2 linked regions of the Canis lupus familiaris genome follow. The protein of the gene in region 2 purifies or fractionates together with the protein of the main gene of each other region. This does not show direct contact. Links are inferred from orthologs where the notes say so. Each region holds a gene or a part of one and is shown on either strand. Other genes may lie near its edges. The genes, in order: CEP170 and CCDC68.

Region 1 (3,831 bases), on a different chromosome or scaffold from region 2:
GTGAATGTCATTTCGCTGATAGGCTAGGCTTAAAAGCCAGTTGTATTATATGGACATTGTAATAAATAGTAAATAAGCCAGTGTATGAAAAATTAAAAATAACATTAATGAGTTTACTAATATATGGGAGTGACTGATGCAGTTTACTCTCATGGGAATTTTTTTTTTTTTTTAAGATTTATTTATCCATTCATTCAGAGAGAGCAAGAGAGAGGCAGAGACACAGGCAGAGGGAGAAGCAGGCTCCATGCAGGAAGCCCGATGTGGGACTCGATCCTGGTCTCCAGGATCACACCCCAGGCTGCAGGCGGCGCTAAACCACTGCGCCACCAGGGCTGCCCTCTCATAAGAATTTTAAATGACAGGCCTTCAGAGTAAAGAGTGCAAGTAGGCATTTTATTATTAAGATAAATTAACTTTTTTAAAAAAAAGATTTTATTTAATTCATGAGAGACACAGAGAGAGGCAGAGACACAGGCAGAGGGAGAAGCAGACTCCACACAGAGCCCAGTGCAGGACTCGATCCCAGGATCACGCCCTGGGCCGAAGGGAGGCATGCAACCACTGAGCCACCCAAGCGTCCCAAGATAAATTAACTCTTACAGAAATTTAAAACATGACTTTAGGTTATTTAGTCTTATTGTATAATTTCTTCTCCCAAATAGCATGTAAAATTTTTGCTTTAATGACAGTGTTTTCTGAAACACATTTCACATTTTTAGTTATACGAAAAATTAAGTATATTTTGTAAAGAATAATTTTTTACATTGAAAAACATTTTTGTTACTGTTTACCTTCTGTATATTGAGCTTTTTTTTTTTTTTTTTTTTTTTGGAACTGGAGCTTGATATTTTCTATATGCCCTGTTCCATACATTGATTACAGCAGTGCTATTGTCCCATTCTTATAACCTAAAAGCAAATAGTTTTGTTTATGTTCAGAGAGTACTACCAAGAAATAATTACAGCACCTGTAGAATCCCATCAAGATTCAATATTTGAAAAGATGCTTCAAGAGACCACAAATACTGCTTTACTTAATTAGGGGATGATTGGAAACAACCTAGTCTCCCTGTACTGCTTCCTAATAAATTATCTGCACATGGTATTTCCATCAATCTGTTTAAAAATGGAATGCTTCTGAGAGCTTAAGGGAAATATTTTTCATTTGAACTCTTTACGATCTTCATAATGGACATAGTTCTCTTGCTTCCTGAAAAACAAGGCCGTTTAGTCTTTTTAATTTATCTATTTAGTTATTGCTTGCATTTGTACTAATTACACATACTTACAAGAAAACATTTCAATAATCATTTGTTTATATATTTTATTTACCTATTTTATTGACATATACTATGCATATATTTTTATACCTTTATATTTATTTCTGAGATAGCAATTGCTCACTTTTTCTGCCAACTCTGGTTGTTTTGATCTGAGATTTATAATTCAGCTTTCCTCCCAAGAATTTTTGACACTTGCGCATATTCTGCTATATAGACATACACATGAATTTTCTTCTAGAATTTTTGGCTGGCAACTAAATTTTCTATTTTTACCTTATTTCTTTCACATTGCTGCTTCGATTGCAATGCTGCAAGCAAACCACGTGTTTTATCTCTAGTCCTTTTATTCTTTATAGAATGTATCCATCTTCTTGCAGTGATCACACATCAGTAATGTTATTTTTATAATTCTAAAAGTAATGTCTTTAAATGTGATGGTGAAGAATGGTAAGTGGAATCATTGCCTCTAGAACATCACTTGCATATTGACTTCATGTTTATTTCTTCATATGAGCACCTGTTCTCCTTCAGAGCTCTACTTTGTGTTCATAGATAATTTATCCTCCTGACTTGATAAGGAAATTCATATTTTTTCTGTCTCTAGATGTATATGTTGAATGTGCATCTTCATCTCCATTTGATTTCAGTTCTTTTGCACCTTGATTTCTAGATCCAAATTGGAAAAAATACGGATCTAGCCATGCCAGGGTCTGTCTCTTAACTGCTTTGTTCTTTGTCACTGCTGCTGCTTATCTTGCATCTTCTGTTACTGAATGCTATTTATAATCAAAATTATTCTTTCTCTGTGACATTTGCCAGATTTTCATCCAGGCTGTGATCTGCCTTCCGAGTCTCATGGCATAATACAAATAGCCATATTTATTCTCCTTCAAGTTTTAGAAGCTCCCAAATATTTTGAATTTTCTCTTATTTTTTTCATTAGGGTGCAGCATAGATGCCAAGCAAGTTGAGGAACAGTCTGCAGCAGCTGCAAATGAAGAAGTACTTTTTCCTTTCTGTAGGGAACCAAGTTACTTTGAAATCCCTACAAAAGAATTTCAGCAGCCGTCACAAATAACAGAGAGCACTATTCATGAAATCCCAACAAAAGACACACCAAGTTCCCATACAGCAGGTGCAGGGCATGCTTCATTTACCATTGAATTTGATGACAGTACTCCAGGGAAGGTAACTATTAGAGACCATGTGACAAAATTTACTTCTGATCAGCGCCACAAGTCCAAGAAGTCTTCTCCTGGAACTCAAGACCTGCCGGGGATTCAAACAGGAATGATGGCACCAGAAAATAAAGTAGCTGACTGGCTAGCACAGAACAACCCTCCTCAAATGGTATGGGAAAGAACAGAAGAGGATTCCAAAAGTATTAAAAGTGATGTTCCAGTTTACTTGAAAAGGTTGAAAGGTAAAGTGAATTGATCATTTCAGAACTTCCTGTTTTGTGATAAAGAAAATTCAGTCTTCACAGTTAACCAGACTACTCCTAGATAAATAATTATATGATAGGAAACTTCAGCTTTTTCAAACCTTTATATTTGATTTTGAAGCTCAAAAGCAAGCCACACTACCCATGTCCACCTTACTCATGAAAAATAGTCTGCCTTCATTTTCTTGCCAAAACCAAATTGGTTTTGTGAATTTATATTTATGCCATTAAAAATGTTTCTTTTTCCTGTGGAAATAAAAGATTAATTCTGTTCACCAATGGAATTCCCTAGAAGACAGTTCTCATCATTTTCTTGACTTCAGGAAAAACTATATTCAATTCTGTTCTTCTCTATTGTGATGCTTCCTGTAAAATGTCAAAATCTAGATTTTGAAAGAAATTTTAAGCCGTTTGATAATGGGCCAAAAGTTCTACATTAGTAATATAGTGACATTGTTGATAGAGTGTTTCCAGCTTTTCTCAGCAGTTACTCATGAAACAAAAAAACTTGTGGTCTAGAGATACTAGGAATTAATTGAGTTAAAAATGTTTTTGATATTAAAATTTATGAAATCACAATCGAATGTTTATTTGTGAAATAGTCAATATATGCTTTTCAGTGTAACACTTGACCAAAATTAGGCAAATATCTATACTTCTATATCAGAGTATCAACTGAATAATTTTTACATTGTTTTGCTAATTAAGTATATTTTAATTACCCTATCTTTATTTTATTTAATTAGCTATCTTTAAAAGAAATGATTGCATGCTAATCTGGCCATTCTGTTTCTCTGCAAGGAGTTAATAAGCTTAAAAAAAATGCTCATTGAGGTCATTGTATCCCTGACATTTTGCCTGGGGACTTAATTATGTGGCAAGTACTCGGTAATTTGAATACACAATGAATGACTTCATTATCAGTGATAAGACTAACCCTGGCCTAACCAGTACTTTAGGCCCTGGGATTTTGTTTGGTCAAGTCATGAGGAAATACCTGTTCTGATTTGCTTCTAAGACATTTCAGGATAGTGAAGTGGTGTGATTACTTAATTCTTTGTTGGGGCCTATTACTATATTTAATTATAATCGTAAGCAGTTA
Region 2 (3,831 bases):
GTGAGGTACTGAGCCTCAGTTAACACGGTAAGTGGGAGAGCACATGAAACAGCCTCTTGAGTATCTATCCTACCTATGCTTTCTGCTCTTCCAAATTATTTCAAGGCAATATACAATTCTACATACCCTGAAATGAAACAATTATAAAATAATAACTTCCTTTTAGACTTCTATTTAGTAAGCACCTATTATGTGACAGGTAATCTTTTAGATGTTTTATAAAGCCCCCTTTGTCTGAATGCTGCAAACACTAGAAGGCACTATGTCCATTATTCAGAGGAGAAAATTGAAGATGAGAGTGTTTCACTAGTAAGCTTACTAGCAATACTAGTAAGTGTTTTCTAGTATTTTAGGAGGTTATACCTAAAACAACCACCAGGACCAGAATTGGAACCCAAGTTTGTTTAACAAAGGCAATATTCTTTCTAGTACAAAATATAGGTTACGTTTACAGAAATAAAAAAGCAGAAAAGAATATAGTGAAATAAATAATATATATAAATATATAAATTTTAAAGACCTGTAATTCCATCATGGTTTTGTTTATTCTACTCCATACACTACTATATACTCTCACTCTCCCTATATAAGTTATTTTGTTTTTAATTTGTAAAAGAATACTCCATGGAAGGAGTCTTGTGGAAGGTAGATTGCTGGCAGCAGTAGATAGCTACAAAGGTCATGGATTAGTGCATCTTGAACTTTGATGTGTATATGAGTCACTTGGTGATAGATCCAGTTAAAATGCAGATTCTGATTCACAAGGTCTGGGGTGGAGCTCCAGATGCTACATTTCTAAAGAGCTCCCTGGTACTGCTACTGCTGCTGTGAATACCGCCCAGGCTTGGAGAGCAGTAAAGCCCTAGATCAGTATGCTGAATTCCCACATGGACGTTGTGCAGATATTGCAGGGGAAGGAGCAGGTCCTTTGAGGCTATTATTTGCTATCTTGAGGTTTGAGATGACCAAGGCAGACACACTGGCAACACAATTCATCTCCATTCCTAACTCCTATCAAGGTCACCAACCTTCCCATTGTGATATCCAATGGTGAATGTTCAGTTCTCAATTTACTTGACCCATAGGCACCATTAGACATAGTGGTGACACCCTTTTTCACTTGCCATTCAGTGACTCTCTCTCTTCCGGTTTTCCTTCTAATTCACTAGTGTCTTTTTCCAGCCTGCTGTGAGGATTCTTCTTCCAAAGTGTTGGATATCTCAGGACCAAATGCTCAAATTTCCTGCCATTTAATTTCTTTTAAAGATGTATTTATTTATTTATTTATTTATTTATTTATTTATTTATTTTTGAGAGAGAGAGAGAGAGAGAGAGAGCGCTCCCATGCACATGAGGAGAGGGGCAGAAGGAAAAAATCCTCAAGCAGATTCTCCCCTGAGTGAGCCCGGAGCCAGAGGCAAGGCTCGATCTCAGGACCCACGAGATCAGGACCTGAGCCAAAGCCAAGAGTCAGATGCTCAACTGACTGAGCCACTCAGGTGCCCCCGTCATTTCTATCCACACTCACATTTGGCAATCTCCTCCAATTTCAGAAATTTAAATGCTATCTTTATTTCTAAAATCTCTGCCCTGTGGCCTGGATCTTCTAGCCCAAACCTCTACCTTCAAAGCCAGAATCAGACACACAGTACCCATTATAAATCTCCACTTACAGGTGAAATAAACAACTCAATAGAACCAAAATGGATTTTTTTTTTTTTTGGCCTTTACCACCATTCACAAACATTAACCTTTTTTTCTAGTTTCTGAGCACTTAATATAAGAAAATTTTTGGAGCTGGTTGTGTTAGTTTGGCAGACTGAGCATGATAAAGGGAACAATATTTATGCCTTCTTCATTCTCTATGGCTACACTATATAGTGGACAACGTTGGTATGGATGAGGTGCACTTGGCTTCAGATGGGCTCTAATCCGGCACAATCCAGGCAAGGCTAGTGTAGATTGTTTGACATTAAGAATATAAGGCCAGTCACAGGGGAAACGGTACATTCAAGTTTATCAATTGTCTGATCACTTGGCCTAACAGCTTAATAACTTCGACTCTGTGTCCATTGGCGTGACCCAGGTGAGCCTAAAAGGTTGTACCTTCATCACGCTTTGAAAAATGTTGCTGCCCTATATCCTGGCTGGGCTGACATCTTTACATATACTTTAGATAAGTAAGCCCTATTTAAAATATTCAACTAAGGTCTAGTCCTTCCAATCTGAGCCTGCTAATAACATCTGTGGTTAAATATTTCATACATATGCCCAGTAACATCTTTAGATACTGACAAAATATTTAACATCCATCATTCAAAACTTCAAAGAATAATTTAATAATTATCATAAAAAGTTATTTAAATAGGGTTTATACTGTTTTATGTTTATTTACTGAAGGAATAAAGTGGTACATTTTGATCAATTTATTACCTTTGTTTCTAGTTTGTGATTTGTACTGTTATGTCCTACTTCATCTTTAAAAATTTGATTTCGGATCTTTTCCAGAGTAGTTCGGATCTAGAAGAAAAGCACATTTAAATTTTTTTTCAAAGACATTTAATGTCAAATACTTTTTTCTTTATACCAGCTACAGTATACCTGATTTATCTGGAAAGTAATAATAAACACTGATCAGAGATTTAAATAACTGCCACCAACCTGACTTGCATTTAGGCTAATATTGTTTAGACTGCAGAAAATGAACATTTGGTCTTTATAATTCTTTCTCAGTCAAACCTAAAATATAACCTAAATGAATATTATGCTACAAAATAATTACTATTTAGTAATTAGTATTTAATACTATTTAATTCTATTTTTCCTATGTAGCAATTTAGTACTAATTTACTATTTAGTAATTACTATAAAACAATTACTATTTAGTAATCACTACAAAATAATTACTAGCTAGTAATTACTAGAGAATAATTACTAGCTAGCAATTACTATAGAATAATTACTATTTAGTAATTACTACAGAATAATTACTAAGAGAAGATCATACAAATTTATGCATGAAATATAAGCCTAATGTCTTAGTGACCTATGGAATTGTAAGACACTCAAAGATGAATTAATCTAAGTAAGTTATAAACTAGCCAGGTTCAAATTTTTCTATCTGTTCTAAGAAACAGTTCATAAGAATATATACTTTTGTCAGCCATTATCACTGGATTCTCATAAGATTTCACATTTGTAATGAAGTCACATGCCAACATGTGATCACTGAGGAGAGCAACCCAGCACTGTGAAAAGGAAGCGGTAAGGAGAGACAGTAACTCAGAGAGAACATAAACATCTAGTTGGGAGCACAGTAGCAACACTCATGAAACAACTGAGAAATGATATAAAACAGTAGGAAGTGCAGTGGTGAAGAGTGTGGGGCAAATTAAGTGCTGATAGGTGTTCTGAACCCTTCTGGCCCATGATTCAATTTTATGCCATGTGTGGGAACAGAGGTTTGTGTCCTCAAGAGAGGTTACCAAACATGTGTTGAAATTTCAGCTGCTGGGGTTGTCCTTTACCAAATGTGTCCTCACAGGTTCTATGGAGGGAGAAACAAAGCCCACCCATCCATGTTAGGTTGCATTTTAAAAGATCATGATCGATTTCCAGTACCTGCATACCTTTTTCACATATTCAGTTTCTTCAATAACGTGAGCTGATGTGGACTCATACAGGGCAGAGTTATTTTTTATTTTACCACTTGGGGGAATCTCTGTGGTCACTGTTACTGTTGTCATTGTGAATTCCGGCTCTAGGAAAACACAAATCAGTTAGTCAAAACTAACTTCTTTGATGATCTGATAATACGGTCCATAAACTGAA

The links.
Region 1: the proteins of CCDC68 (region 2) and CEP170 purify together in Homo sapiens (co-immunoprecipitation; 3 studies listed by BioGRID and IntAct, counting the BioPlex papers as one, with this or other methods). This does not show direct contact. The link is inferred for Canis lupus familiaris from reciprocal best matches to the Homo sapiens genes CCDC68 and CEP170.

What each region holds. Positions count from the first base shown.
Region 1 is NC_049228.1:34,261,245-34,265,075, reverse strand, and holds part of CEP170 (centrosomal protein of 170 kDa), read left to right. Parts: intron 1-2,228; coding exon 2,229-2,708; intron 2,709-3,831.
Region 2 is NC_049222.1:20,762,082-20,765,912, reverse strand, and holds part of CCDC68 (coiled-coil domain-containing protein 68), read right to left. Parts: intron 3,761-3,831; 5' UTR 3,747-3,760; coding exon 3,630-3,746; exon of another isoform or gene 3,628-3,629; coding exon of another isoform or gene 3,622-3,627; intron 2,521-3,621; coding exon 2,434-2,520; intron 1-2,433. UniProt on the Homo sapiens protein: Centriolar protein required for centriole subdistal appendage assembly and microtubule anchoring in interphase cells. Together with CCDC120, cooperate with subdistal appendage components ODF2, NIN and CEP170 for hierarchical subdistal appendage assembly.